Linked DNA regions of Ovis aries. The protein of the gene in region 6 purifies or fractionates together with the protein of the main gene of each other region. This does not show direct contact. Links are inferred from orthologs where the notes say so. Each region holds a gene or a part of one and is shown on either strand. Other genes may lie near its edges.

Region 1 (5,734 bases), on a different chromosome or scaffold from region 6:
GAACCCACGAGTGTCCAGAGAGGACGCGGCCTGGGCTCTCACGTCCCGGGTCTCAGCATCTGAGTGGGACCCGTCCTGGGCGTTGGGGGCCATCCGAGCTCAGACGGTCTGAGTGGCACCTCAGGAGCCTCTGGCCCCTGAGGGCAGGCAGCAGGGCCAGTGGCATTTGACCCTCCCACTGCCTGGAGACCACAGCACCCGCCTGCTGCGAGTATCTACGTCCGGCGCCGCTTGGCCGCGCTGGGGCTGGAGGGGTTGCTGTTGGCGGTCAGGACTTTGTCGGTGACCCTGCTGCGCTTCCGCTTGTCTGGCCCCTCTTTGGACCCCAAGTCTGAGTTGTTCTTTTCTTTGTCTTTGCTGGACTTTTCTGTTGCTTTCCCCAAGCTTCCTGAAGATGAAAAAACTGGGAGACAAAATCATTTGGCTGAAAACAGAATATCCAAAATTTTATTTCATCTTCCTGTTCAGTTACAAAAATCTATACCTATGTACATGACATTGACCCCAAAAGGCTCCTCCCTAGCTGGGGGTGCCTGCATGGCTGTGCCCATCTTTGCTTCTCGGGGTTCACCCTGCACTGAGAAGGCTGCCACCCATTCTACTTTAGTCAGGGAGCCTCCTGCACCCCCACCCCCCAGGGTTGGCTCCGAGAGTGACTCCCCTGTGTGAGAGGCTCTCTCCGAGCAGATGGAAGCTGCCTTCTCAGCTGCTGAGACAGACGAATGACCCCATTGCTAGTGATGGGGAGGCCTCGCTGGGCTAGGGTCCATGCCCCTGGGGCCCCAGGGTGGGAGGGCAAGCTCCACACTTACCATCATCAGCCCCGTTGTGGGGGTCCACATCTTCTTTCATTTCCTCTTTCATTTCCTCCTCGATGATTACTTTTCCTGTGGGGAGATGACCAATGATGACCTGGAGCCCGCAATGCTGAGTGCCGTGGCCCTGTCTGACCACAGTGGCTCAGGCCAAGGGCTGCTGACGACTTGGGAGGTGTCTGCCCCTGTCCTGGAGGCCCCCAGACCACCCCATCCTGGAGGGTGAGCACCACCCAACTACTGACCCTCACTCTCTGAGGCTCGTGACCTTCACCCTGACACCTTTTCCCATTCCCAAATCTGCCCTTGCCCGAGTCATACCTTCTCGGACTTCTTGAATGATTTCTTCTGGAAGGATGAAGTTCCTCTCTGGATTTGGGAACGGAAGAATCTCAGACTCGTGCTGATGACAAACAAGGGTGTTTTTTTTTTTAGAAGCAAAGAAGAAAATATGATTTTAAATATCACATTTAAAAGAAAATGTGACTAGAGATGTAAGAGCCAACTCAGGAGTGACCAATGAGCACAGATGGCTGTCCCGAGGGGCTGCAGTGGGCAGGCGTGGGGCCTGAGGCCTTTGTTCTCTCTCGTGGAAACCAGGCAAACAAAGCAAAATGGAGGAGCCACCAGGAATGCTCGCCAGGCTCCACTTGTTCCCCAGATCACGTAGGCCTGGAGGGACAGAGAGCCAGAAACACCACCACCAGACAAAGGGAAAGGTGAGCTGGTGGGAAGGGTCTCTGGGTTGGGAGGGGATTCAGGAGACAGGGCTTCTAGTCCCCAACTTGGGAGCTGAGCTGCAAGCCAGGTGGTCAGTGAGTAAGTGTGCCACCTGCCAGCTGGGAGCTTCACAAACCCCGAGAGCTCCTGGGCCCACGGTCATCCTGTGGGGTGAGATCCACAGACCCATATTTACAAGGTCCCAGGTGACCATGGCATCAGCTCTATAGCGGTGCTGGGGTCCAAGGAACTGAGGAAGGAAGGGCCACCTGTCCTGGACTGAGAGCCTCCCTGGTGGCCCCCACAGCAGAGTATCACCGTACCCTGTACGGGGCATCACTGCCTCAGCACCCTCTGAGCCAGCGTCTGCACTTGAGAGCCATCTGTCCTGTCTACCGCACCAAAGGCCCCTCAGGACAGGGGCCCTCCCATACTTGTCTCTGTGTCCAGCTTTGGGCCCCAGCCTGGAGTGGAGATGCAGGAAGCGTCTGGGGGCCAGGTGACACCCCAACATGACAAGCATGGGGGGTCCTGCCAAGCTGCTGAACACTGGAATTCTGGGGGAGTGGTGCCCCAACGGGTGGGCACAGCCCTTCGGGCGGCCTGCTTCAGTTCAACAGCTTGACCTCGAGTTCCTGGGTGCTAACTGCAGGCTCGGGGTCAGAGCAGTACTGTCATTTCTCTTCCTTCTCTGCCTTGGGACAAGGAGATGCAAACGACTTTCCCAAGGCCAACAGGGAACTTGTGGTGGTGAGGGTTAAGGACACAAGAGGGTCTGAGCTTCACTTAGAAGCTCAGGGTGGGAGGGAGGGAGGAGGGAGGGGCACAGGGTGGGGTGCGGGTGCAGCCCCGAGTCCTGACGCCTGCTGCCACAGGGCCCTGACTCCTGCTGTTCCTCTGCAGGGAACACCCACCTGTCTTTTCTGCTGTCCTGGTTACCAAGTTGACCTGCTCTCCCTCAGACCCAGCATCTGGGGGTTCCCTGAGGGTGGTCTTCCCTGAGGGTTGGCCTAGTTCTCACAGAAACCACCATGTTCATCTCAATGTGACTCAGACCCGGTCACCTCCCTGCTTATAGCACTCGGGAGTTTTCCACAGGACTGACAACCTAAGAGCCCCCTCCCACACAGGCCTCAGCTCCCTAGTTATCTCCTGGAAAGATCTTAACTGAACCTCGACTCCCCCCCAAAATCTAAGGTAGATTCAGTGCAATAACTAGCTACTGTCACCAAGCTTGTGTTTTCATAAAACTACCCAGAGCTATCTTGTTTAACAACTGGTCACCTGTGGGACATCCTGGATGTCAAGGTAGGACGTGGTTGGTGGTGGGGGGTGGGGGGGGTGGGGACAAAGGCAGGGTAGGCGGTGTGGAGGGGGCTCCCTGCCAGCAGCTCTGTCTGCGGGGGTCCAGCTCACCAGTGCCTGCATGTCATACATGGTGCTCAGGTGGTCCCAGATGACCTTGGATGGGACCTGCCGACCGATGTTCTGGCTGAACTTGTCTCGGATACAGATCATGTGGAAGTGCCGGTTCACCCCTGCAGAAGGAAGGGGTCGGCTTGTGGGGGAGGGGTAGGCCAGCTGGTAGGGTAGCGAAGAGGTAGGGGGCAAGGGGGAGAGAGCGGGCAGTGGTTGCAAGGGTGTAGGGAGGCAAAGGTGGAGGGTGGAAGAGGTAGGAGGTGCAGCGGAGAGAGGTGGGAGAGGAAAAGGCAGGGGTGTGCAGCGGAGGTGTAACGAGGGCACAGGGGTGGGGGTGCACGTGAGGGCTGGAGTCAGCCGGGATGGGTGGCTGGGCACAGGAAGGGGGCAGAGTCGGGTGGGGGTAGGGTATAGAAGGGGGCAGCGTGGGCAGGAGTGGGGGACTGCTGGAGGAAGCATGGATGGGGTGCGCAGGTGGGGGCAGGGTGCGCAGGTGAGGGCACGGTCGGCGGGGTGCAAGCGCAGGAGGCCCCGCCCAGCGCGCGTCCCCGACCGTTGCCGGCCGCCCCGCCCCCACGCGGGTGGGCCGCCCCGGCGCGGCGCTCTGCTCACCGACGGGCTTGTGGCCCAGCATGGCGTGGAAGAGGCACACCTCCACCTCGGGGCTCCACACCACCGTCTCCTCGGCCGGGCTGGTGGCAGCCTCCCCAGGGCCCTTGTCGCCGGCCGCGCCGCCGCCGCCCACCTCGGCCTCCCCCATGGCCCCGCCGCCCAGCGACGAGCCCCGGGCGGGAGCGGGCACGGCCACGAGCTCCGCGCAGGCGCACTCGCGGCGTGGGCGCGCGCTCGACGGGCTCGCTCTCGGACTCTCCCGCGGCGCAGGCGCAGGCGCAGCTGAGCGCTGGGTCGCCGCGCCCCCAGGCGGCACGGTCTCGCGGCGCAGCGCCGGCAGAGCAGGCGGATCAGGCGAAGGAGTGGGTTTGCGTAGATGGATGGAAATGCCCTAAATTAGATTGTGCCCGTAGCTGCACAGCTCGGGGTAAACCCCGCTGAACTCTGCGCTTACGATGGCGGGATTGCAAGCTGCACCTCAGTAAGAAGCAAAGAAGAAAAAGAACAGGCGACCTACAGTTCCTGCGAGTGGGGGCTCCAAGGGCTTCCACTGCCTCCAGCTGACCCTTGGCCTGAGCGCTGCACAGAGAGGCTCCTGCACACCGGGGCAGGGACGTCGGGGTACAGCCTTCCCGCCTGGGGCCTCCAGGGTGACCAGCATTGGGCCCTGGGGGTTAACCCTGGTCGGGAGGGGCGGGGCCAATGGGGCGGCCGGCCTGGGCAGTCAGGTGACAAGCTCAAAGCTGCGCCCAATCAAGACCGCCGGCTCCTCCCCGCCCCGCCCCGCCCCATCCCCGCCCCCGAGGGCTTCTCCCCGGCCCTTCTCCGTCAGGCCACGCCCACGCGGTGCTCCGGGCGGTTACCCAAGGCGAGGAGCGCTCTTGCTCTTCGTCTCCCCCTGGGTGTAGACATAGGGTCGGCCTTCCGGGTCCCTTTCTGGCTCTGCGGCTTGCCAGCCGTGTGAGCCAGGCAAAACGCTGAGCCTCTCCAGGCCGCAGGTGTCCTCCTTGCAGTGCAACTAACGGCGGCGCCTTATCCTGGGGTGCCCTGGGCACACGCTCGCGCTTCTTAGCCGGCATTCGGAACCGCTCTGGCCAGCCTCACCCCCGGAACAGTGGGGACTCAGTCTTGTCCTCCCTTGTGTGAAGAGCGCTGCTGGTGATGCCAGTCCCCACAGAGTGGGGACATGTGGCCCAGGGAGGATTTCAGTGACCCAGTGCCACCGGCTGTCCTGGAGCCACGATGTGGAGGGACATTGTGACTTTGCTGGGCCTGTGCTTCTTTCCTCTCTCTGACCCACAAGTGGGGCTCCCCTCAGGGCTTGCTGTGAGGTGGAATGGAGCACAGCCCAAAGCCACTTCACTCGGGCTCTGTCACACAGAAAGCACTAACAGACAGTGGCCCTCATCATTAATCTCCCTACACTTCCCAGACACTTCAGGGTCCCTGCTCCTCCACCAGGTCCACCTTCTGCTCATTCTATCCCCACCCAATTCCTGCCTTCTTCAATCTGGAGAGCCTCCTCCTCTAGGAAGCTACCCCTGATGCCCACAAGACAGCCTCAGCCCATCTGTGCCTCTCATGCAATCTCTTCCTCCTGCCTGGGGTCACCTGGGTGCTGGGCTGTGTTTTCGTTCTCTCTGGTGGCCACTGTAGCTGAGCTGTGTTCAGCCAGCAGCTGTGGTCCACAGACACCCGGTTCCTTTCATTCCAGGCAGATCCTAGAATGTGTATCTTCAGTCAGACTCGATGCAGAAAGACAGGTTGGATGATCTGGGCAAAAGGAAACTGCCTTCTCCACATCTTTCTTACATGAAGCCTCCTGGGTACTGCCCATTTGTCTGCTTCACCAGGTTTGTGTGGGACTGTCTCTACCCATGAGTATTAAGCCGACCTCTGTGCCCAGTGTCAGGGTGGAGCTAAATGCCATGCTCAGCTGCCAGGACTTTGCCTAATCCCAGTGATTTGGCTCATTTCTTTGTGTCCCACAGACATGAGTACAACTGGAGCCAGACTGAGGCCGGATTCAGGAATCTGAACACTGTGCCTGCACCTTTAGCCTCTGGGTTGTGATGAATCAGATGTCGGGCTTCAGATTACTGCATTGGTGATCCAGTGTGGGACACTGGGCCACCTGGAACTTATTTAGAATGTGTTGCTGCTGCTAA
Region 2 (5,741 bases), on a different chromosome or scaffold from region 6:
CTGGCGCGGACAGGCTCGGGGCCCACCGACCTGGAGGGTGAGGGGGGCGTGCGGGCGATACCAGGCCGGCTGGCCGCCGGAGGGGCTCTCCTGAAGGGGTTCCGTCGCGGCGTGGACCCAGCCGCCAGCCTCAGCAACGCGGTGCCCTCCAACCCCCTGCGCGGCCCGCGAAGGCGGCAGCCCGCCTTCCTGGCGACCGGCCGACGAGTGGGGTTGGGGACATTCGTTTTCAGGAAAATCCCCAGGGATCGAAGGCCCCACCCCCGGCCCCCTTCAGCCTAGGTCAGACTAGGGAGAATTCGGTCAGTTGAGGACCGGGCTGCCAGTCCCTGGGCACCGCTTCCGGCACAGCTGTTCAGGAACCCAGTAGGGTGTCCTTTGACCCTAATTCCCGTTTCATTGCCTTATTTCATTCATACTCTTTCTGACTCAGTGCCATTAAACTGTCTCTTAGTACATCCCAAGAAGTACAAACACTTAATTTGTAGTTTGCACTTATTCTGGTGAAAACCAAAACGCTACTAACCATGACCAAAACAGGACAGGAATCAGCTCTTTGGCAATGTATTACCTCATATAGGTAAACTTGGTATACCTAATTTTAATCATCACCCTTGTGAAATAATTGCCATGCTGGTATCCTCAGTGGAGGCAAAGGGCCCACCTTTTGCTTGGTATTAAGAAGTTGCCAGAAAGTGTCAAAATGATCCACTTAACCTAATTACAAAGTAACTACTTTCACACGTTGTTCACTAAAGATATTGTCTGCCATAGCAGCAAACATGGTAACTCAGGACTTTAAAAAATCTTGATTCTCTGTTAAATGTGAATAGTATGTTCCCCAAAGATGTTACCATATACTGAACAATTTAATGCAAGTAAACTTCAAAAGAGCGTGTAGCACACTGCAAACATTATCAGTCTAAACTGAAAAGTTTAGACTGTGTAGGCAGCTGCATATAGGACCTTCCTACCTGGCCTCTGCTCCCCAACCCCACCCAAGTCCCCACAGTGCGCTGGTGTAGTGCTTGCTGCTATCACAAACAGCAAACAAAGCTGATGAACTCAGATGGTTAAACTTAGCCTAAAAAACATCAACTTGTGCTGAAGTTTTAAAATCTTTTAATAGTTCATTACAATGTATTTAAAAAAAAAAAACTTGGGCCTTTTAACTTTGTTGATCTACAGACAGAATTAACAGTAATTTCAAGGGAAGAAATGTGCTTAAGTTATTGCTAGCTAAGATACCTATTCAAAACAAAGCTGTTCCTACTATAATCAAGCAAATTTTATACACAACTAGTTTGGGATATGACCTTTATTGAGCTTATCCACCAGAGTGGAAATAATGTCTGTACAAAACCAAATGTTTGTTACTATAACTTCTGCATCACAATTAAAATCCAAACAGTTTTTTAAAAACAGTCAACTCAATCAAAACCCACTACTTCAGAATCAATAGCTTCTTTGAAGCCACAGTAACACTTAAATATGGTTAAGACTCAAATGCAGAAATTTGGTTGGTTGGAAAGCTAATTAAACTTCCAACTTTCTCAAATAGAATTACAAAAAGGCAAAATTGTGTTTTTCACAGAGATACAGTCCACTGGAATCACCAACACTGGACAGCTGTTAGAGTATTTAGAGTCCTGAGATAATAAGGAATCCAGGCATCCTTTAGACAGTCTTCTGTTGTCCTTTCTTTCCAATCAGAGATTTGTGGATGTGTGGAATGACACCTAGAAAAGGGATAAAATAACATACTACTTTAAAACCAAGAGTTTAATGTTCAACTTGGAAGATGTCTTTCAATGTAAGCGCAGAGTAAAAATTCAGAAGTACGTAAGAGAAATCAAATTTCATGATGCAACCATACTACAGATCAATGAAAATATACTGTGTCCTCTTTTAGACTGAAAATTACTAGAGGGAAATTTAAAAGCAAATTCTTTTCTCTAGAGAAATTTATAAGTTAATATTTACATACCACCACCAGCAATTGTAGCCTTGATGAGAGAGTCCAATTCTTCATCTCCACGAATAGCAAGTTGCAAATGACGAGGGGTAATACGCTTTACCTTCAAGTCTTTCGATGCATTTCCTGCCAATTCAAGTACCTAGAAGGCAAAATGCGATCAATCTCCTTCCAACTTTCATTAACGTCAAGATCCAGACAAGAATCAAACCTTCATGATGAAGGTATATCTACCAACTGTCATCTCCCCCACTACCTGAATGGCAAGATAAGCAAAAGCCATAAAGAGGGCACGCAATTTTATTTCCTAAGGCCGCAAAGTCAAGCTCAGGAGGATCCCCATCATGATCACCAGCCCCCTCTAGCGTTGTCGGAAGCTTCTCGCTGCGTACAGAGCCTGGGAGTTTTCTTGCATCACTTTCCTCCTTCCCTCTCGCCGCCTCCCCCCACCCCCTCCCAACCTTTTCCAGATTATAGGCGTACACCCATTTACCTCTGCGGTGAGGTACTCCAGGATGGCTGCGCTGTACACAGCGGCAGTCGCGCCCACACGTCCATGGCTAGTCGTCCTAGATTTGAGGTGTCGATGAATACGGCCCACTGGGAACTTCGTTTTTAGCATACACAAACATAAATGCACAAAGATAGACGAGCCAAAGATAATTAATTATACGCGCGCCAAAGGCAGGGTCATGGACGCCGGTGCAGCAACGCGCCCCACCACAGACACACGTGATCGCCCCCCCCCGATATTTATTGCATCGGTAAACCAAGTCGCGACACTATCACCCACGCAAAGACGAAACGCTCATCTAGAGCGATGATAAACAAGAGAGGAAAAGGAAAGAAAAACGCCACGATTCCCAGAATGCACGAACAACCACTGACCTGCAAACCGGCTCTCTGCGAGCGGGAAACCGCCTTTGTCTTGGCCTTTCCGGAGTCCTTCCCAGCCTTACCGCCAGCCTGCGGCGCGCACACGCCCGCGAGCGAAGGAGGAACGCAGAATATAGGATTACCAGAGCAGCGCGCCCTTCCCCCACCGCGCCGCGGCTCGGGCGCGAGCGCGGCCCCGTGCCCAGCCGGGGTCTCCGGCCCGCGGCGCGCCGCAAGGGCGACCCCGCCCGCCCGTCCCCCGCCGCGCGCTCGGCGCGGCCGCGCGCCTCGGTCCGCCTGCTCGCCGCCCGCCGGCCCCCAGCGGCGCTGCGCGCGCCACCCAACCGTCACCGCCCGCCGCGAGATCCGAGGCTGCTCCGCTCGCCGCCGACAAAACACCTCCCCTTGCTCTTCCAAATCCTGTCTCCGCGCGTTCCCAACCGTCGCCGCTTCACCCCCATCTCCGTGTGTAACGGGTTTTTCTCCCGCCGGCAAAAACCCGCGGAGTCTTCGAGCGTCTCCACCAAGTTTACCATTTCGAATTCTGCTGAAGCTCAAACAAGCAAAGCAGAGAAAGGACTAGTCAGACACCCAGCGAGAACCAGCCGCCTACTCCTTCGTCGCACCGCGATTCAAACTGCGCTGTCTCCCGCCTTCCCCGCTCCCTTTATACTGCAGAATGTTCCCTCATCCGGGAACTCGGATTGCTCATCCCACCAATGGCTGCCCCCCGCCCTCGGGACGCGTCCTTGAAGCTTCAGCCAATGAGAAAGCGAAGAAAAGGGCGGAGGGGCGGGCGCTTCACAGCTCGAATCCCTATTGGAGCATGCGGAAGGAGGGGGGGAGGGCGGAGGGATTGGAACTGGGGAGAAGAAGGGCACAGCGGCGGGAGGGAAGAAACAGAGCGAGCTATGCTGCGGGAGCTAGGCGAGCCCCCCCCAACCCCGCCCCGGCTGTGGTCACGTGTCCGAGAGGCGGAGTTGAGAGGCTCAGGGGAGGGGCACGCAGTATCGCGCACCCTACCATCACCCGTTCGCCTTCGTCTCCTAGCCTGATTCCAGAGACCACGTGAAGTCTCCGCGGGGTCTAGCGCGCCCCACTTCCTGCCCTCCCCTTCCAAATGAGCGCCTCGAAGGCAGAGACCCAGCAGTCCACAGCCTTCTCCCGAGGCCCGGGGTACTCTTTTCCCTGGTACCCTCAGCATCGCCCAGCTTTTTCAGTCTGACAGGTGGCGCGAACGCGTCCGGTGAGAGGAGCCCCAATTCCTTCCCTGACCACAGTCTTGATAGTGATTTCAGTCTTCTAACCCCCCTGGGCGAGTCTCGAGCCACCGACTGATCATGATCCACTGCTCCCACGTCATTTTCAGTTCTAACTCCCTCGTCTTTCCTCACCATTTTTGAATGCCTTAACCACCCCCTCCACCCCAGTGGGATACTTTCACGGGAAAAACGGTGATGAAAGCCCCCTTGCTGGTCAGAAAAGACACTTCAGTCTACCCCTAGAGGGCTTGGAGTGAGACGATATTCTTCAATCAAATCATAACCCGTGTCTTTCTGGAGATTACACATCAATGGGTTGTACCTATAGCCTGGTGTCTAAAGTTGATTTAATGAAACCTCAAAGCTATTCTGTATCAACTTTTCTATGCTAAACAGTTTGCTACATGACAAATGTTCTGTAAATGTCAGTGGGGTAACTTCTAACGTGATTCAAGGACAGTTACAGATGGTCCATGTAATCAGTTGCAAATGATGGGCTTAAAAAATAGTACTGTACACACAGCACTATCATAATGCCAGCTACATAGTCGTCCAACTAATAGATTAATAACACCTGTGTACATGTCCAGCTGCTTGAAGACAGTAATGATCTGTCTTTTATATTTATAGCATTTAATAGTGTATTACATATTAAATATATTTCTGATGTCCAAAAGTTTTAATATATGTATTCTCAAGTACTGTAGTTTGAGTTTCAGTTTGAAAGATTTTATCCAATTAGAGGACCCTTCCATAGCTGGTAGATAAGTAAGTTCCAGTGAAGGAGTTCCCAACAATTTGACAGAGAGTTTTGTTATTTTCTTCCCCTTACAAATGAGAAATTTTTACATTGTAATCAGTAGCAAGAGTTAATCAGTTCTCCCACTGAATTGTTACAATGACATTTAAAAACTGTGAAACCTGATGTAATAGTTACTCTGAGCTCTGCTGAGGCTTCCTGATATGTACTTTAGAAACCGACATTAATACCTTTTCCAGTTTGGATAATATGTACTCTTTCCTATGAGATCCAGCTAAAGGAATTCACTGTTGCCTCACTGAACCGTGCTTAAGAGAATGTGCTCTGGAGCAAGAAGACGAGAACTCTGCTCTGCTTCCTTCTCAGTGTGTCATCTTAGTTACTTTTTGGAGCTTCAAGTTTCTCTTCGATGAAAAGAGTACAGTAACGCCTATTCTCAGGTAGTTGTTGAAAGAGTAAAGGAGAGGTATGCAATGTATGCTCCAACGTGTGTTTGTCACATAGCAGCAGATGATAATGATGGTGTCCTCTGCATTGGATGTGGGGAAGGATGAAATAAAGTATCTTTGATTCCTAAATCTTTTCCTCTGTCTACCACACCGTCTTCCTTGGACATGAAAGTAAAAAGCCGCAATGCAAGCCTGAAACCCACCTAGGCCCCCTGCATTGGGAGAGCAGAGTCTTAGCCACTGGGCTGCCAGGGAAGTCCCCACTTTAATTTTAGATTGCCTATCACTTGCTGAAATGGATCTTAACTGTTACAGTAAGGCAACAACCTAAATCTTGGGGAAAGAAAGCACACTTTACTCTGCAGCACTGAGAAACCCATCACTATTTCTGAGAAGGGGAGAATACAGTGTTCCTCAAT
Region 3 (5,116 bases), on a different chromosome or scaffold from region 6:
GAATTATAAAGAGAATAAACTTACTTTTGTCTTTAAGTTTCTGCAATTCAAAAGCTATTTTAGGCAACCAAAGTAGACTCTATGCAAGGTATTTCATTAACTTTATTTTCTACTTACACTAAAATATATATAAAAGCAGGTTTGAAAAAAGTATTTAATTACATCAAACTAAGTAACTCCTCTCTAATTTCAACACATATCTCTTTTTCAACTATGATACCAACAAACAAACTAAAAAAGCAAAACAAAAAGTTAACACCAGTATATTTCACAATTAGTATAGAGCCACAGCATGAATTCCTATCTGGTTCTGTATACCTGTATAAATACTGTATATCTTGTTACTTGTAGACCCTCAGTTACCTGTTGGTCTGGATTTTATGTTCCCTAAGTAGGCCAACTTCCTCCTTGGCTCTTTTCAGAAGAGCTTGCTTATTTTCAAATTCTGAGGATTTCATGTAGTTTTCAATTCTTTGGTATTGAGTATCTGAGAACCGTGCTAATGAGAGAAATGCCTTCATTTTTCCATTTCTCAGGCCATCATTGCTTTCTCCATCATAATTTTCAGCAACTTCCACAGCCTTCAAGAAAAAAACAATCCATTTATATTTACAGATACTAAATGCATCTAAAGAATTACTCAGATCAAAGAAATATCCACAGTAAAATTTAACATATATATATGTATATAAGCTAAATTATACAAAATACAGTACTTTGAGTTTTCAAAACAATTTTGACAGAGCAGAAACAACAAATAGCTAATATGTGTAAAGAATGGTACAAAAACATAAAGCTCTATAAAACTAAAAAAACATATTAGGCTTTTCATGTTCATTTATTAGTAAAGTAGCTATTTTAAAAATTAAACTATATGAATAAGAGGGAGAAACAGGAAGCTCAAAGGTGGTAGAAGCACTGGGTTGAGAAGATCCCGTGGAGGAGGGCATGGCAACCCACTCCAGTATTCTTGCCTGGAGAATCCCACGGACACAGGAGCCTAGCAGGCTACAATCCATGGAGTTGTTAAGACTTGGACACCACTGAGCAACTTTCACTTCATTTCACTTCTATGAAAAGATCAAATGTATTTATGCTAAGCGATTCTATTAGGGTTCCTCAAAAACCTTACCTTTTCTAGATAGGTCTGCATGATGACTGCAGGATTTTCTAAGCAAGTTTCTGCTAACCAAGTGCCACAAACTCTTAGACATTCTGTGTATATAAGTTTTAAGTTGGGATCATTCTGTAAAGGAAAGCAAAGTCTTAAAATGTAATTCATTATCATGACTGTACAAAAATATCTTCCATGTAGGAAAAAAACAGGTTAAAAATGTCTTTCATCATTTGCTTTCAACTTACAACTATTTTAATAATTCCAAATATTTACCTTTATAAAATAATCATTCTCTACTACTAGTACTATTATTACTATTATTGAAACAACTCACATATATTGAGTACTTTTATATGATTGGCATTATTACTATATAAAATAATATATAATAATTCAGTTAATCCTCACAAGAATCCTATGAAATAAGAACAATTATTATCCTTAATTAGAAAACTACAACTGAAGTACAAAGAGGGTAGGTAACTTCAGGGTCCATCAGTTCAGTTCAGTTGCTTAGCTGTGTCCAACTCTTTGCGACCCTATGGACTGCAGCACGCCAGGCCTCCCTGTCCATCACCAACTCCTGGAGTTTACTCAACATCCTATCCATTGAGTCGGTGATGCCATTCAACTATCTCATCCTCTGTCATTCCCTTCTCCTCCTGCCTTCAATCTTTCCCAGTATCAGGGTCTTTTCCAATGAGTCAACTCTTCACATCAGGTGGCCAAAGGATTGGAGTTTCAGCTTCAACATCAGTCCCTCCAATGAACACTCAGGATTGATCTCCTTTAGGATGGACTGGATAGATCTCCTTGCAGTCCAAGGGACTCTCAAGAGTCTTCTCCAACACCACAGTTCAAAAGGATCAATTCTTCGGCCCTCAGCTTTCTTTACAGTCCAACTCTCACATCCATACATGACTACTGGAAAATCCATAGCTTTGACTAGATGGACCTTTGTTGGCAAAGTAAAGTCTCTGCTTTTTAATATGCTAAGTTTGTCATAGCTTTTCTTCCAAGGAGCAGGGTCTTTTAATTTCATAGCTGCCAAAACCATTTGCAGTGATTTTGGAGCCCCAAAACACAAAGACAGACACTGTTTCTCCTGTTTTCCCATCTATTTGCTATGAAGTGATGGGACTGGATGCCATGATCTTAGTTTTCAGGGTCCATACTGTTAAGCAATATTTAAAAAATCATACCATGTGAGCTCCCAGGGCTTGGTATAATGATACATTCTCTAATAAAGGAGGATGTTCTACAAGTTTCCATTATCCAAAAGTACAAAATGTTGATATTCACCTAGTAGGTATATGTCAGAGGGATATCACTGAGTCCAAACCTTTAAAATACTTCATGATTCCTACAAATGCTGCTAAATTTGTCCATCATATGCTGGAGACAGAGTTGAAGAAGCAATCAAGTTTATAACAACTAATATAAAATATATATGTACATTATAGGTAATGGTAGATAAAATATCAGATGTGATGTTTTCAGGGTCTTTGAATTGACCACCTAATTATTTCAACTTGCCTTTTAAAAAAAGTTTTATTCTCTTATGCATTTCCTCTTGCACTTTTTGTCATTTCAGATCTATAGTGTCTATTTCATCTTTGTTTCCCACACACCCTCCTTGATTACTGTAGAAAGTTTTAAAAAAATAAGGCTTATAATTGGGATGAATTAATCTATGATGAGATGGACTGATAGAAATGTTGTAAATAGGAAAACTGAATACTGTCTAAACTTTTACAAATACTAATTTTCAAGACTCCTTTTTATAATTTCTTGTTCATGGATCAGTAATTTCAAATCTTTAATAAAATTAGTAATTATATTAAATTTTATTTAAAATATTATAAAGCACAGTAATCTTTCTTATTACAGTAAAAACTAATTCAACCAATAGAAAAAAAGTGAACCTCTGTACAACTGGCATCCAGCTTCTTGATCATTTGCTTGAGAATACTCAGGGCAAGACTCTGTTCCTTTTTTGCCCAGAATACTTGTGCCTCCTCCAGTTGCCACTCAGAGACTCCACTACTAGCTGAATTATACTGTTTAATTTGAAATATTGCCCTTTCAGGGAGCTGAAATGAAAATAAAAAATGGAAATAAACATTTTTACTATTACTACTACTACTTCTACTACTACTGATAAAAGCAGTAAGGACTTGACAATTTTTAAGATTGTCTTGTAAGTGCATCTCTGCCTTCCCTAGCCCCCATATCTGCCTATCTGTTTTTCTCTTTACATAGAGACACATATAATTATGTGTGTGTTTATACACAGTATATACAATCACTGAAATGTTATACATATAGAAAGTTAGGTAGCTCCTCATTATTTAACCAGGAAATTGAGGATTAGAGAAAGACTTGTGCAAGACTCAAATTCAGGTCTAATTCCAAAAGGAGAAATCTTAAACAACTATGCTATACAATGTTATAATAGCAATCTGTCTCTCAATGACATTTCTTTTTACTTATGCTTTCTATTTTCTAGGTAATAAAAAGGCAAGGTCAACGAGTGAGATGACATAGTTTTAAATCTGATTACCTGTGTGTTCTTGAAAGTTCGGGCTAATACAGAGAGTTCTACGAGATGCTTGGTGAGAATGTCCTTCAAACACTCTCTTTGGGAGTTTTCCATTTCCTTTTCCATCAAGATCTCCAAAATGACTGTGCGTAGGGCCATTATAGGCTCCTGAAAACTAAAATCACTGTCTTTGAGAAGCTGGGAATGTTTCCACCACTTCATGTACACTTCAGAGGGCTGCCTATCTGTTACCGATCTGAAAGCCAAACCACAAGGTTCACATTAGCAACAGAAATGAAAAAAGGGTGCTATTATGCAGGTTCTAAAACTTAAGATTTAATAAACACTAAAGGAATTTTTGCAGCAACATGACTGGAACTTCTAAAATAAACCAAAAGAAGAATCAAAGTTTAGAAATCTACAATATGGTCAGACCTCGGAAGGTCAGTCAGCAGAGAACCCAACAGACGATGAACATTTTAAAATTTTCTTTCTTTTTAAAATTGAAGCATAGTTGATTTACAATACTATAGTAGTTTCAGGTATATAGAAGAGCGATTCAATATTTTTATATAGATGCTACTTTTAAGGTATTCTTAAAAATACTCTTCAACCTCGCAAAAAGCAGCACTTTTAAATTACCATTCTTCTGAAATGAGAACGCATTTATCAGGCCTCTCATTCAGAACATCTACACCTCTAGTACAACTTCAATGATCCTCAAAGAGGACCGTCACCAAGGAAATGAAATAAACTCATTATCTACCGTACCCATCAGGCACAGGGCATGACTCTGCAAAACTGTAGCTATTAAAGCAAGCACAATCCAATGAAGGAAATGCTGGCATCTGGCAAAGGTTTCATATACCAATATTATTTATTAAAGGAAGAGAAAATACATCTTGTACAATTAGTTCATATGAGCAGAGTGCTTCCCAGGTGTTCAAATTAAGCAATACTGTCCAATCCTTCAGGAGTACTATACGGGGAGAAATCAAGATAAATGAAGCAGGGAAACTAAGATGATGACCTTAAGGTGATGTAGGAAATGAAAGTTCTTTTAGTTGCTTGATGAAGAACGAAACAGTAACACAAACTCACAGGAACCAAAACTTTAATTCCTCCCAAAATGATCTTAAGAGCAGCAAGTCTCAAATTTTTTAATCTCAGGAAATCCTTTATACCAGCACTCCCCAACCTTTTTGGTACCAGGGATGGGTTTTGTGGAAGACAATTTTTCCACAAACTGGGGAGCTGGTGGGGTGGATGGTTTTGGGTTGATTCTCATAAGAGCTCATAACCTAAATATCTTGCATGTGCAGTTCAGTAGGGTTCGTGCTCCTATGAGAATCTAAGGCTCCTGCATGCGAACCTTGAGGAAAGGTTGTAAATACAGATGAAGCCTCACTTGCTTGCCTGCTGGCTCACCTTCTGCTGCGCGGCCTGGTTCCTAACAT
Region 4 (5,116 bases), on a different chromosome or scaffold from region 6:
GAAATACATCATTCTTTTGTGCCACTGAGGAAGATGCTGATTAAACAGTGTATCCCTGGAATATGATACACCCACCAACCAAAGTGGAAAGAGCATTGAATCCATGGCTTTAAGTCAGGTTTTGCTAGGTATTCAATTATTCGAAATGACACCCTCATTAAGAACTACTTTCCTATTTTGTGCATATATGGAATTTCACAGGTATTTTTTCTAGTGCAAACAAGATATACAGGGGCAGAGAGTTTTTTGGATTGTTTCATTCCCTTCAAAGAGACCCGAAGGCAGGAAATGGCCACATTTATTCATTACATCTCTGTAAAGGGGCACGTTTCTACCCTCCTGAATACTAGATTTCTGGGTAGCCTAAGAAAGGCCACACCAAATATGATCAAGTCATTTTTCGTCTGCTCCTTTTGGTCTTGAGTTCGCTACAGTCCCGCCATTACCTCATCTCCCTAATCCAAAGTCCTGGTCCTTTGTCAAGTGTTTCATGTCAAAAATTAGCTATTCTTTTAGTCGCTAGTTCAGTTCAGTCGCTCAGTCGTGTCCAACTCTTTGCGACCCCATGAATTGCAGCATGCCAGGCCTCCCTGTCCATCACCAACTCCCGAAGTTCACTCAGGCTCATGTCATATCCAACTCTGCAACCCCATGGACTTCAGCATGCCAGGCTCCTCTCTGTCCTCCAGTATCTCCCGGACCTTGCTCAGGTTCTGCTGCTTGCTCAGATCTCGTCCTTTGCTGCCTCCTCGTCCTCTTGCCTTCAACCTTTCCCAGTTATTCTTAGGCAGGGTTAGTGAGAGGGGGAAGGCTCCTGGTCTAGAACAGGACATTTTGGTGATGTACAGTTACTACAGGAGCTTCCCTGGTGGCTCAGATGGTAAAGCGTCTGCCTGCAATGCAGGAGACCCAGGTTTGATTCCTGGGTCAGGAAGATACCCTGGAGAAGGAAATGGCAATCCACTCCAGCACTCTTGCCTAGAAAATCCCATGGACGGAGGAGCCTGATAGGCTACAGTCCATGGGGTCGCAAACAGTTGGACACGACTGACTTCACTTTCACCAGTTACTACAACCAGCACTTTTAGTACTATTTTAGTACTAACTTGTATATAAACTGAAAAAAAAAATGTAGCATCTAATAGCCCTCAAAGCTGTACAAAAGCTGCACAATTTTTAAAGTTTTTACCTTAAACAGTGTAAGCTAACAGAAAAAAAGTCAAATGACAATTTTAATAGACTTAAAACAGTGTACAAGTATAAAACACTGGTTCTGTATTTCAAAAGATTGAGGAAGATATCCAGTCATTAAACAGTCTACAAAACATATGCCAGTAGATTACATAAAAGACTATGTACAATATAAAAAGAGCTGGAAACAGTCTTCACTGTAAAAATAATTTAAAACAAATTTTTCAATTTAAAATATCATCTATAGCACACACACAGATCATGCAAATGGAAAACTAAATATACTGCATTCTTTAGTGTAGTCAAATTCAGATTGAAACATCTTTTAGGTAGGGAAATGGCCATTCAATAAAATCTTTTTCTCTGGCAGTAATGGTCCTAGCTGGATATTTTAAGCTTAAGAACAGCTGTTTTTCAAACCTTTCTTGTTAAACTGTAATAAATACTAAAGCAACATAAAAATACTTTTTGAAAGCAATGTTGGGGAAAGGTCTGGAAAATTAATCATTACTGTGCAGTTTTATAAAGTATGAACTTTTGTTGAAAGGCTAGAAGCTTCTGCAGCTGAAAAAGTTGTTCTCTAGTTTTAAGGCAGGCTAAGCTTTTAAATAAAGACATTATAGGAACTAGTTTCATTAACTATTCTGCTATTACAAGTTACATCACGTTCATCTCCATAATACTAGGCTAGTATGTTTGGTGTTTCTTAACACCAAGTCCTCCCGACAGGAAACATGTACTTACTGGCTTTGGAACCGTAACCGGGGTCTGTTGCTCTCATTAATGGGCAAAAAAGGCAACAGCCCCAAATATTACACTCTCCCCAGCTGAAGTACCATTATTATTGATTCATAAAGGCTTTGCAGATTGACATTGGCAGTTTAATACTTGTGGAAAGGATCAATGCAAGCTCTACCACAGTGACAGGTGTTTAAACAACAATGGCAAATATTCTCAAAACTAAGGGGACCCAGGCAGGTACTATTGTTTCTAAAGCAACTGAAACATTTCCAAAGCATTTATTTTTTAAGTTAGTTTTATGAGCCAATATAGACATTACTACATGTCCACAGGAAGTACAAAAGCCATCTTCATTTGAACGATACATTTCTGAAACTGTTAGCACCAAGTTTCATTTTAAAAAGGCAAAGACAACTGAGTGCTCTCCCACATATGGTTGACTTCCTTCTCACATTGCATGTCATGAGATTTTTAAAAAGTTAGCTGCCACAAGTTTTGGAAAATGCCAGTGTTTAAAAATAGGTAATTGTGCTAATAAAGAATCAAACGTTTCGCAGAACAGATTTGAGGATTTCAAACCATTCAATGTTACAACAAAAAGTGTGAAAATACCATTCTTTGGTCTAGATAAGCTGTTCCCTTTACATTAATTTAACATTCCAATGGCTTTTTGAAGACTGAAATGTTGAAACTCACTAGGCAAAAACAAAATTATATATACATGTCGATGTATCATACAAATGAACCTTTAACAAAGTCTAGTCCAATAGCTGACTAAAGATACTTACGTACCTTAAAAAAAAAAGTTAGTGTTTGAGTGTATAAGCACAGAAATAAGAAGTTAAAAATTACCCATTGGGGGGAAATCTGTTTTACCAGTCTATAAATATTATACCTTTCTGGTTTCCTTGCTCTATTGAGTTCACAAGTAAACATTCAATTTGACATGCTAAAGATCCTAATGCTGGTGGAACAATTTCTGTACCTGGACAATTACTATATTATGATTTGTTTGATGGATAGTTAATGCATGTTGCTTCCTGTTTCACGGATATAGCTTCATTAACTGCCTCTTGATCACCTCCATCAGCTTCAAATACAGTTCCTCCGGCTCTCTCATTAATATCAGCATCATCTTCCAAACCATTGTAAAATTCTTCATTCTCACTTTCATCCTCCATGGGTTCTTCTAAACTTGGACTCTGGCATGTTCCACTATCAGTGTTACTGCCGCAAGAACTAGAGGATAAGACATCATCTTCAGAGTCGGAATACACCTCAGCGCCATGGAAAATGTAACGGTTTGGTGGTAAAAACAGATACTGATTATCTGAAATACAGTAATAGGAGAAAAATGGGTTATTTCCAGTTTCCTAAGACTTAGTATGATTGTGCTGTTTGGACAAGCGTAGGTTCTAACCTTTTACCTGAGTATCACTACTGCTGCTAAGTCGCTTCAGTCGTGTCTGACTCTGCAATCCCACAGACGGCAGCCCTCCAGGCTCCCCCATCCCTGGGATTCTCCAGGCAAGAACACTGGAGTGGGTTGCCATTTCCTTCTCCAATGCATGAAAGTGAAAAGTGAAAGTGAAGCTGCTCAGTCATGTCCGACTCTTAGTAACCCCATGGACTGCAGCCTACCAGGCTCCTCCATCCATGGGATTTTCCAGGCAAGAGTACTGGAGTGGGGTGCCACTGCCTTCTCCGAGTATCACTACTAGAGGCTATTATTATATATAGTTTCTCAACAACAAGCTATAGAAGCACTCAGTACTGGGTAGAAATCTTAGTTCTGCCACTCACAAACTTTGCAAATTGGGAGTGTTATCTCTATGCCTCAATTTCCTCATCTGGGTATGAAGTAATTTTCAAACCCTATGAGGTAAGTATGAAAAAAAAAATTGTAGAGAGCCATGTTCAATGAGGCTTACTTAACCAACTCCTTTGAGATTTGTTGAGATGAAATATCCAGCCACCACCCACCCTCTGAATCAGAAGCTATTTTTCTATGAGTCCTATCATGTTAAAGTGTTAAACAGTTAAAGTCCTAACAGTTAAAGCACTGTTAAGCTTTCTTTTGCAAAGCCCTCCCAAATTAGCATTCGCAGTGTAAGATTTGACCTCTCATGGTGAGGAGCCTTCCCCTCTCTCCTCTAAGCCAGAGTGACACTCTCCCAGGTCAAGGCTCTTAAGAGCCCAGACTGATTCACAAAAGCTGAGTACTGCATAGTTCATCTGGAGTAATTAAGTTTCTCTTCAAAATGACTTCCAAGCTTTTTAAAGACCCTATCTTGATCCAGTTCTCACTCTGGAATAACCCATGTTTTGCACCATGAAAACCACATGGTGTGTCAGTGATTGGAGAAGGGAGTTGAGTACCTGCATTCTAGCTGCTGGCAGACCACCACATCTTGTGATTTTTAACAGGACCATCTCCTCTAAATCACATCCTAGGAGCCAGTCTTCTAAGGGGTCCCAGCACATGGCTGTCCTGCCCTTTTACAGGTTTATTAAAAAACAGTTCATTCTGCCCTGGCCCCCTGAAGAACTGAACAATCTATTTCTCAGTTCAAGTACCCTGTACCTGTTTCTGTCCTACTGGCAATCTTACCTTTACGATATTCACATTTTACTTCTTATATGTTCCAACTTCCTCCTTTTCAGCCCTGACCTCACTACAAATGGTCGCAAACGAAAATGAGTAAACATCAGTTGTTTGGTTTAAGCAGTTAAAAGTGTTAAGTTTTACATTCATCAGTTATCTTTTCAAATGCTCACAATGCTATGAGAGGTAGATATGACAATGCAGTCAAATTCTGAAGCCTGTATCTTTAAAGGTCTAAATTAGCAGAATAAAACCAAGGTATACCAATTTTCTGGGGCAGAGTTTTATACATTTGACCCATCTGTCAAAGAGCCAAAGAATATTGTGAGTGCCGAAGCAGACTTTGGAGAAGGAAATGGCAACTCACTCCAGTATTCCTGCCTGGAGAATACAATGGGCAGAGGGGCCTGGCAGGCTATAGTCCATGGGGTCAAAAAACCAGTCAAGACACAAAGGACGAACACACGAGCAGACTGTATACAACAGAGACTTACCTGACTAAATCAACAGCAATTTTTCTACTTCTGACTTTTGCCACATTGATAAGCGTAAGTATTCTATGCTTTTTCTGGTTTTCCC
Region 5 (5,116 bases), on a different chromosome or scaffold from region 6:
TTAAAATCAATCCTTTAGTATATAAAATAGAAGTCTTTGTTTTAAAAGACAGCACATATGAAACAAAAATTTAGATTTTTAAACTTAAAATTTGCTATAAAACTGCTATAATATAACCAAAGAATTAATTTCACAAGTTAAAATCTGAGCCAATTCTAAATCTTCTTTGGAGTCAAACAGTTATTGTTAAATAAATTAGCAAAATTTTCATTAAAAGTTGTAAAATACAATGCTGATGGAATATGGGAATTATTATTGGTGAATGTTTACAATTATGTGTTAAATGTCTTAAAATATTTATAATCTTTAGCTCAGGAATTCTGTTTCTAATCATCTATTTCAAATATGGAGGGACGAGGTAGAGATGCTCATTTTTATAAAAGGGAGAGCTTAAAACCACCTAAATGCTATACAAAATAAATAAAATATATTCAACTGATAGAAAATAACAAAGCAAAAACCATTTCAGTAACTACATAAATAATGCGGAAAACGTTTATGTTATAACATTAGGTGAAGAAAGCAAGAATCAAAATTCTAAGATATTATGTTTTAAAATAGAGCAATATAAAAGACTAGAAGAAAATGTCTGTAAAATAGTTTTAAAACAAGCACCTGTGGAAATTCATCTTCCTCTGAGCTGTGAAAGTCATATTGCTTAAGGTCACTCTTATTGATCACAGGCAAGGTCTCAGGAGTGGGCTGCTGAGATGTTAGCACAGCCTCTGCTTTAGGCTTCTTTGGGTACTTCTTCTTTTGACGAACCACATCAGAAGCCTCTTCTTTCAAAGACAAATGATGCGGGTGCTGTTTACATGATGATTTTTCCCCCAAAAGGAAGAAATGAAAATAATTTTAGAAATCATAAAAAACTATACTGCTCTTTGAAAAAACATACATTTTTACCCAGGAGGTAATTTATTTTCTGGTTTTAATATGCAGAAACTACTATTTGATGATAAGCCAAAAAGTGCTTTGCTTTCACAAATTATAGTGAAAAATATTATGACATTTAAATTTACTTTATATTGTTAGCAATACTTTAAACTAAGATATTAGTGATTTTTTAAAATTCCTCTATTATTATGCAATCCAGTATTTAAAATGTATTTAAATTCTATTTTAATTTTATTTAAGTCTACTGATTAATGATGAAAATTAACTATTTTTACTTCTAAAATGACTTGAATTAGATTATAAATACATTAATTCATTTCTATGCTTATTTCCAATTTTAAAAAATATCTACAAGTGGAATAACTTTTCTGAGACAGAAAAGTTCACTTTTTAGAATTAATTACCACCTCAGCTGAACAATAATCAAACTGTCTTCAAGTACCCTAGAGTTCTTTGGTGGCATACAAGAGGCTGTCTGGCAGAGACATCTCTGGCAGAGATGGGTGGAGTTTAGAACCCAGCTATCCTCAAGAGAGCAGCTGTTTCTGTTTTAATATACTGGCATTCCTTTTAATAAATAAGAATCTACTTTAAAAAGTTTGAAAATTACTGTTCTAAGCATCAAATTACAAGCGCTAACAAAGTGTCAAAGTATTTAGGAAGTTTTACATTTTTTCAAGTAGCTCAGATTTTCATTAAAACTACTTTAGGGTCAAAAATGTTATACATAATGAAAACATTGCTGAAACACTGAGTTATTGAGATATAAATGCTTTCATACAATGGGCATGGCTATGACATCAAAAAGAAATCCCCAACTTCTCAGAAATTACTTATATTTTCAAGAAGGATGTGTGACAAATGAAATATAGTTAACTATGTGAAATGCAATCATATTTCTAAAATTAGTATTTAAATAGTGTGGGTGTTTAATTTTAGAGTGATCTAAGATTAAGAATCAACATATAACAAAGGCTGATTCTGCACTAATTTGGGGTTGAGATTTTCATATTCTCTGCCTATCAATAATATACCTAGGAAAAGCATTGATTTAGAACTGGATTTTAAAAAGTAATGTACAAAATGACATTTATTGTCTGGTTTATGGCAAAGTAAGTGTGATTTAAAGGGTAGGTGGGCTAGATGCCTGTGATTAATAAGAAAGAACTTTGGTGTTTGAATTGACACAGTTGAATAATGGAGGAGTCTCCCTACTCCACATTCTTCCTTGACCTTTAAGAAAGAACCCATGAAAAATGAGGATTGTGCACATTTTTAAAAGATGAATTTTCCACAAACACCCTAAGCCATTTTTAAAATCCTGCTACACAGTAGAGCTCTACTGTCTAAAAACTCAGCCAATAACATGTTTCTTTTTAAAAATCTAAGCTCTTCAAAGGTTTTATTACTTTTTGCATTTCTCAACTGAATGCTTTTATATACCAAGTGAATAATGAATAAATGTGACTCTTCAGGCTAAGAAACTAATCACTAGTCTCTTTATTAGGAAAAAACTGAGTTCTAGAAGTTATAGGACTTTTTCAAGTCAAGATAAGCAGCAACTGATAAATGCTGGTTATGGCAATAGTGAGGACAGTAACTTTGAATAGTCTTAATGAAGACAGGTTTAATTTTGATGCCTGCCATCACAATGCAGGATTTGCTAAGGCAGTGATAATAACTAAGCTATAATTACCATTATTCTGTAGGGATACAAGATAGCATAGTTGAAAACACATGGTTTTTGTTTTAAGACCTAGACTCAAAATCTTAAATCTGCCACTTAATAACTATATGATCTAAAAGTCACACAGAGGTAAAAAATCTACCTCAAAGGGATGTTGTAAGATTAATCAATATGCATATAAAAAATCCTAGCAAAGTGCAAAAAGTAGGAACTCAAAAATGTTAGTAATCTTCCTTCTTAACCAAACTATTATAAGATAATTTCAGAAACCAATTGTCCAGTCAATATTATCATACATGCTTCTCCCCAGAAGATACTCACCTTAGTTTTACATTCTTGGACTTTGTGATGATTTCCATTATGAAGAGTTCCTGGAGTGGTATATAATTCTTTTTCTGATCTACTGATCTTCACTTCATTAAGGATTTCACCACCATAGTCTCCTAAATGATATCTTGAAAAGGAAATAATATATAAGAAAATCTTACCGTTCAAAAATAAAAAAGAAATAGAAAACCAATGATATATCATTTACTTGGAACACAACTAATCAAACAGAGCCAACAATTAATCGGATTATTCTTAAGAGAGAAAACGCATGGGAATAAAGAAGCTCATATTTGGGATTTAGTAAAAACAAAACAACTCCCTCTCCTAATCTCTAAGATACACAGAAGATGGACTCTTCATATATTTCGTATTTTCAGGAAAAGGATTATTACATTGGTGAATACATTTTCAAAATGCACCAAAACAAGTATTTCCTAACTAATCAAAAAATAAAATCAATTAAACTTTATTTCTCTCAAATTTTAATAGAAACTTTAATACAGAGAATGGGACTATACGATCTCCAAGTTCTTTTCTAAATACAATTAAATGATTCTGCAACAACAAGAAATTAAGTGTAACAGAGGATCTATACTATTCACAAAAATATCTCCCAAATTTGCAACCCAAACTGGCAACTTAATGGTTTAAAAACAAAAAGCAAAAACCAGCAATCACAATTTTCAAAAAATGTAGACATTGTTAGATAATCAATCTCAGTAGTTATAAAGCTGAAATTTGGTTACATTTTGCCTTTCATTTGACTGAAGCGTTACTGGTATGTAAGAACAGCAATGTTACCTTTTTTCCACAACTTCTAAGGTTAAGTGCAATAATTCTCGTTTTGTTTTCTCTCTTCTCTTAATCATTTCCAAAATTGTTATGGCTCTACTAAATTCTCGTCTCAGTTTCAACATCTTTTCATAAGAGGCTTCATCATTCTTTCGATTCTATTCAAAATAAGTTTAAAAGAATAAATCCAACTGTCCAGATTTCCAGCTTCATTCATCAAAATCTTATCAGACCCAAATTCATTCTATAAAAGCAAAATGTTACACTTACACACACACACACACACACATCTAAATAGCAATTACATTAAGACAAGCCATTTAACTAAAAACAAAAAAGCAAATATCTCAATAAATATGCAGGAAAAAAAGTTGCCAGCTATTGAAAAGATGGAATGACATAGATGGGATAATTCCAATATAAATAAAATTTTTAAAGTCTGCCTGAAACAAAAACTACTATTATCAAAAAATGTAATTTTTTCTTATTGTTACAAGGTCTTTCTCAATGACAGAGAGAAACAGTTCTGTTAAATCAAGGTTATCTAAAAACAGCCAAACTGAGCTGCTATTCATCCATTCAGCCTTTTAATAGTGGGCTGGACAGTTCAATACACTACAATGTAAAGATTCACAATGACAAGCAAAGCTTCACTTTAAAAACTCAGATGTAAAATAGATTACAGAATATAAAGGATCTCAAGGAATGGAATTACCATGCTGAACGTAGTAAAACCTCACTGCAGAGTAGAAAAGAGATCTACTAGTAAAAGGTCTGAGTTTCATTATAAATTCTTACTTTGAAGTGTCAAAAGTAACTTGAACTAACTCACAGGTAAAAGTTCAAACTAATAACTAGAGAAGGTTCAGTTATAATTACCAGCATCATGTGCATATAAAAGTTACTGTTAATAAAAATATTTTGTTCAATCAAACAGCCACAGAATTCTTACTTTCTATTAAGTGTGGAACTATCTGTTTAAAAATAGACCACTGCCACTCCTCATTCTATATGTTCAGACAGACTGCATTTAAGCAAGCTTTCCATACTTGACTTAATAAAGCAGTGTGACATTAGAAATCTGAACCCAAAGAAAGCCAGGTTTCATATCGGAGGATTATAAAAGAGAAAATAAAACTTGAGGAAGATACAAAGTTTTACTTTTTTCTTTTGTGTAGTTTCTTGTATTTGAAAATTACTCATTACCTATAAAACATTACTTAAACTAAATCTCATTAAGGTAGTGCATACTGAATATTAAAAGATACTATTAATAATAAATCACACTTTAATCTTATCCAAAGGAAATATATCACTTTCCCCCTTCAGTAAAGTATGTTACAAAAGACAAAAATCTAAAGCACAGTTTTAAGCAAAATATTCTGTAACCAGGGAGCAGCTGCACCTTAT
Region 6 (4,144 bases):
AAAAGGCAGATACATTGAATATGTGACTACAAAATAAATAAAAGTCTTCTCTGTAATAAAAATGACCAATATACAGGTTTGGAAGACAAACTAGGATAAAATATCTTCACATGTGAAGAAGGGCTGATATCCCTTCTTTGTGGTGTGTGTTACACCACAAACAAAGCACAACACTTTGTACTAATCAATGTTAAAAGTGTACTCTTAGATACCGTTTTAATTTTTTACAGTAAGAATGTATTTCGGGGGCGGAGGGTGGGCCGAGGAATTCAAGGAAAAAACCCTGGGACTGGAACGCCGGGAGGCAGGCTTGGAGAAGCGCCTCAGAGAAGAACTACGCTTCCCACGAGGCTCTGCGCCGACCGCCCCCGACAGGCTCCGCGCGCTTTGCGCGCCAGCTTTGGCCTCAGCCTGCGAGCTGCAGAGTAGTGACGGACTATGGAGAACAGCTACGAGGAGACCATCGACAAACGCCGCGTCCACCTGCGCCCTGATACACTGCGCGATCCCGCCCCCGCCTCGCTGCACCTTCTGCCCTGCGAGGTCCCGGTTAACCGGCCCACGCCGGTGGGGCGCTTCTTCACCCCAGCCATCCGCCTGGGTTCCGACGGTGAGCCCTCGCGGCCGGACTACGGCTCCCGGCGGCCCCCGCGCCAGCATCGCGCTCTCCTCCGCGAGGAACGCCGCCAGGCCTCCTGGGGATCGTGGTCCACCGGAGGCGGCGGGCGGACCGCCACCGGGCTTGCTCCCTTAGGCCTGGGTCAGACCCTCAGAGGCCCTCCCTGCTTCTGCCTCCTCCAGGACTGGAAGCGTCGTTTAGGGGCCGTAGTCTACGTGGCGAGGAGGTGGTGGTGCCGCCCGACTTCGTGGGATATGTGATGACAGAAGAGAAGGCAGAAGTGTTGGTGGTGAAGCAGGATGACCACGAGCGAGAAGAGCAGGAACTGGAGGAACCCCCCGAGGCGCTGGAGCGGGACTGCGTGAGCACTGGGGGATAGGGTTGGAAGGGAGCCCGGGTGGGAACCGCAGCCCGGATGCTGAGCCAGGGCCCCTTCCCGGCCCCCAGGACCGCTTTATGGGAGCCACAGCCAGCTTCAGCAGCTTCACCGTGTGGGGCCTGGAATCTATCCCTGGTCCGGATGCCAAACTGCGTGGGGCCCTAAGCTGGCCCAGCCTCGCTGCAGCGGTGAGTAGATGGATGGGCCCTCTCCCTCCCAGGCTTTATCTAACACCGAACCCACCCCCCCCCACCCCCGGCCCCACCCCAGCCTGAGTGAATTTGGGGCTGGGGCGAACAATGGGGCAGATGGAGACCCAGTCTGACTGGAGGATTAGACTGGGTAGGGACAGCATGGCTTCCCCAGCACTCTTCTCTGGCCTTCTAGAAGGGCTATGATTCTGAATATCTGGGCCACCCAGTCACTATACTGCAGAAATCCAATAGTAGAGGTGATTCCTGTTGCAGATTCACGCACAGGTACCCGAAGACTGAGAACCAGAGCTTGACATTGAAAGCCACCGAACCCCTCACCCCAGTGTGAAGCCAGAGTCCTTCACCCAATAAAGGAGCTTTTCACAGAACCTGTGAGTTTGCCAACACTGCCCCTTCTCCCACAGAACCTTCCATAGCTCTGACCTCTAGGAACAATTTATTGCCAGGGGGCAATGGGGCAGAAGAGGCCATAATTTTGCAACCAGTACCCACCACACCCCAGCTCCTACTTTACAAAAGAAATTTGTACAGCCGTCAGTCCTCTGTACAAGGCACCCCACCCACCCCTCTTACTATATACACAGCTGCCTGGCTCCCTCTGGTCCCTGGTTCACAGCAGGCCTGGGCCTGCAGCCAGCTGACCGTGGAGTTGCCATGAGCCCTGAGCTCGCCTTGGTGCTGGGCACCAGCTAGCCTTGACCAGGCCCGTCCTCTCCTTTTGGAGTGGTCCTCAGCCCTGTCTCCCTTGGTGTGCCTCTTGGAGACCCTGCTGGGGGCGAGATGGCTGCCAGCTTCAGTTCTGCTGCCTTTGCTGGCATTCCCCGGGCAGCGTCCGGTCACCACTTTCCCCTCTTGCTCCAGTCCTTGGGAGTGAAGTGCAGACACTTGGAGTCGATCCGAAGAAGCCGTTTGAGCATAGCCCGTTCGTGCCCATCCACGATGTCCTCCGACAGGGTGAGGATATACTGGCCCTGGACGGGAGATGGGGCCAGGCAGGTCAGCTCAGGCGGGCCTGTACTCGGGATCCCTGCACACACCTGTCTCCCCCTGCCTGCCTCCCTACCTTGTAGTAGTTGATGAGGTTGAGGTACTGTAGAGTGGATATGACATCCTCCTTCTTGATGCTGGTGATTTCACTGATCTCACTGTGGGAGGGCAAAGATCAGGTCCCCTGGGGGCCTCCATCTCTGCCCAGGCCCCAGTAGCCCAAGGATTGAGAAAGCCCGGGAACAGAAGGTCATGCCATGCACCCCGGGGTAGGCAGGGCCAGGCTCACTTGATGGTGATCTGTGGCCTCTCCCCGCTCTCTGACTTCAACCCCATCAAGATCTCCAGGATGGTCTGGGACCAGTAGCTTCGGTAGGACAGGAGGCCAAGGTCCGAGAGGGGCTTCTCAGGGGTCCCCGTTTTCCCTTCCACTTTGGAGAGTTCATAGCCTAAAGCAATGGAGCAGGAGGAGGTGGATAAACGATCACAGTATTATGCCACTAGTGTCTTAAGAACGCAGGCGATCGGGCAGACTGCATGGCCCCGTCTTGGGCCTGCCACGTGGTGGTTCTGTGGTCTGGGTATGTGGCTTGTCTGTTCAGTGCCTTAGTTTGCTCTAAAGGACTAGCACGCCTACTCTTCAGCTGTGTGCTGAAGCTACAGTCAACCAGGAGCCAGCAAGGGCTTACAGGTGGGACGGGGAAGTGCAGAGAATGGCTTGTGGAAAGAAAGTGCCTCCAGTTTTCCTCGGTCCTACCACACTGGGTATGTGAGGAGAAAAGTGGGCCAGGCCCCACCTCTGGTCCAGGCCTGAGGATGCTCAGATTCTCAGTCATAACAGTCCCCCAGCTGTGAACAGAGAACCATCAGCGGCTCTAAGACCAGGCTGGGTGGCTGGGAGGAATTAAGGGGAGTGATGCCAAAGCACTTCCCAGTCAGAGGAGGCCATTCCTCAGCAGTAACTGCCTTTGCCAGGGCGCTCTCCCTCCCAATTCTACTGCTCTGCCCTCCTACGCGGGTGACCACTGAGCAGGCAGTTCCTGGTGAGACCCTCAAGCCCTGCAAAACCCTGAGCAGTTTCACATCTGTTGGACAGAGTCATTTTTCCCATCAGGGCCCTGAGATGTCTCCACTATTTCTAGAAGCCCTTCTTCACCCTCAGTCATCACGAGCCTTGTGTTGGAGCGTAGCCTTTCTGCTTTCCCCTTGATACGTCTTTATTAGCCAGTCTGACCCTCTTGCCCAACCTCCTGTGACTTCCACCAAAAAGCCTGGTGGGGAGGACAGAGAGGCCTCTGCTTTGGAGGCAGGAAGCAGGGAAGAGAGAAGGGGCACACTGGAGTTCTCACTCAGCTTTGCTGGGCAGGTGTGCGTGCAGAGTCCTGACCAATCAACTGGAGGCCACGCTTGCCTCCTTAGTGGCAGGGACTCCTGGCCCCTCCCAGTGAATACCCCCTGCCCCCAGGAGCTGCCTGAACTGGTGCTTCTGGTATCCTGTCTGCTCCTGCCAGGCACAGTGAGCACGTCTCCTTGGTGGCCCCGCACACATCCCATCTCCACTGGGTCTGAGCTCTAAGGCTTAAGCTGAGTTTCCTAAGCATCCTCCTGCCCTGCCAGACAGAGGGCTTCCTGAAGATGTGACCCCATCTTGGCATCTTTCTACCAATAAAACTTCTCAAGGTGACCTGTGATCAAGTCAGGCTTCCACGTCTTCATCAGGGAGCCAAGGCTCCCTCCTCATCTCCCAGGTCAGAGCTTGGTTATCCCAAGGGTGCAGTGAACAGTGAGGTGAACAGAATGAGGGGAGGAGGCTGGGCAGCGAAAGGGGCCTTGGAGGCCAATGCAGAGTTCACATTTGACAAAGGGCAGAGGCCAGGTCCCCTGTGAGTCATGTTGACGTGACATCCACTGTCTGCAAGGCTCAGGCGACAAGTGGAGAAATGA

What was found.
Region 1: the proteins of KAT5 (region 6) and MRGBP purify together in Homo sapiens (co-immunoprecipitation; 8 studies listed by BioGRID and IntAct, counting the BioPlex papers as one, with this or other methods). This does not show direct contact. The link is inferred for Ovis aries from reciprocal best matches to the Homo sapiens genes KAT5 and MRGBP.
Region 2: the proteins of KAT5 (region 6) and H2AZ1 purify together in Homo sapiens (affinity purification with mass spectrometry; 6 studies listed by BioGRID and IntAct, with this or other methods). This does not show direct contact. The link is inferred for Ovis aries from reciprocal best matches to the Homo sapiens genes KAT5 and H2AZ1.
Region 3: the proteins of KAT5 (region 6) and ATM purify together in Homo sapiens (affinity purification with western blotting; 3 studies listed by BioGRID). This does not show direct contact. The link is inferred for Ovis aries from reciprocal best matches to the Homo sapiens genes KAT5 and ATM.
Region 4: the proteins of KAT5 (region 6) and SIRT1 purify together in Homo sapiens (affinity purification with western blotting; 3 studies listed by BioGRID). This does not show direct contact. The link is inferred for Ovis aries from reciprocal best matches to the Homo sapiens genes KAT5 and SIRT1.
Region 5: the proteins of KAT5 (region 6) and EPC2 purify together in Homo sapiens (affinity purification with mass spectrometry; 3 studies listed by BioGRID and IntAct, counting the BioPlex papers as one, with this or other methods). This does not show direct contact. The link is inferred for Ovis aries from reciprocal best matches to the Homo sapiens genes KAT5 and EPC2.

The regions. Positions count from the first base shown.
Region 1 is NC_056066.1:54,280,640-54,286,373, forward strand, and holds the start of MRGBP (MRG/MORF4L-binding protein), read right to left. Parts: upstream 3,869-5,734; 5' UTR 3,715-3,868; coding exon 3,567-3,714; intron 3,074-3,566; coding exon 2,952-3,073; intron 1,219-2,951; coding exon 1,137-1,218; intron 888-1,136; coding exon 813-887; intron 404-812; coding exon 216-403; 3' UTR 1-215.
Region 2 is NC_056059.1:25,066,692-25,072,432, reverse strand, and holds H2AZ1 (histone H2A.Z), read right to left. Parts: upstream 3,492-5,741; 5' UTR 3,388-3,491; coding exon 3,385-3,387; intron 2,942-3,384; coding exon 2,864-2,941; intron 2,583-2,863; coding exon 2,469-2,582; intron 2,118-2,468; coding exon 1,988-2,117; intron 1,740-1,987; coding exon 1,678-1,739; 3' UTR 1,307-1,677; downstream 1-1,306. UniProt on the Homo sapiens protein: Variant histone H2A which replaces conventional H2A in a subset of nucleosomes. Nucleosomes wrap and compact DNA into chromatin, limiting DNA accessibility to the cellular machineries which require DNA as a template.
Region 3 is NC_056068.1:17,632,680-17,637,795, reverse strand, and holds part of ATM (serine-protein kinase ATM), read right to left. Parts: intron 3,916-5,116; coding exon 3,681-3,915; intron 3,211-3,680; coding exon 3,043-3,210; intron 1,247-3,042; coding exon 1,133-1,246; intron 582-1,132; coding exon 364-581; intron 1-363.
Region 4 is NC_056078.1:23,657,757-23,662,872, reverse strand, and holds part of SIRT1 (NAD-dependent protein deacetylase sirtuin-1), read right to left. Parts: intron 3,263-5,116; coding exon 2,934-3,262; 3' UTR 1-2,933. UniProt on the Homo sapiens protein: NAD-dependent protein deacetylase that links transcriptional regulation directly to intracellular energetics and participates in the coordination of several separated cellular functions such as cell cycle, response to DNA damage, metabolism, apoptosis and autophagy.
Region 5 is NC_056055.1:160,797,841-160,802,956, forward strand, and holds part of EPC2 (enhancer of polycomb homolog 2), read right to left. Parts: intron 3,865-5,116; coding exon 3,716-3,864; intron 3,039-3,715; coding exon 2,906-3,038; intron 808-2,905; coding exon 616-807; intron 1-615. UniProt on the Homo sapiens protein: May play a role in transcription or DNA repair.
Region 6 is NC_056074.1:40,324,393-40,328,536, reverse strand, and holds the end of KAT5 (histone acetyltransferase KAT5), read right to left. Parts: intron 2,650-4,144; coding exon 2,490-2,649; intron 2,359-2,489; coding exon 2,277-2,358; intron 2,185-2,276; coding exon 2,050-2,184; 3' UTR 1,633-2,049; downstream 1-1,632. Other genes in the region: RNASEH2C (ribonuclease H2 subunit C), read left to right, coding at 439-610, 802-980, 1,067-1,273. UniProt on the Homo sapiens protein: Catalytic subunit of the NuA4 histone acetyltransferase complex, a multiprotein complex involved in transcriptional activation of select genes principally by acetylation of nucleosomal histones H2A and H4.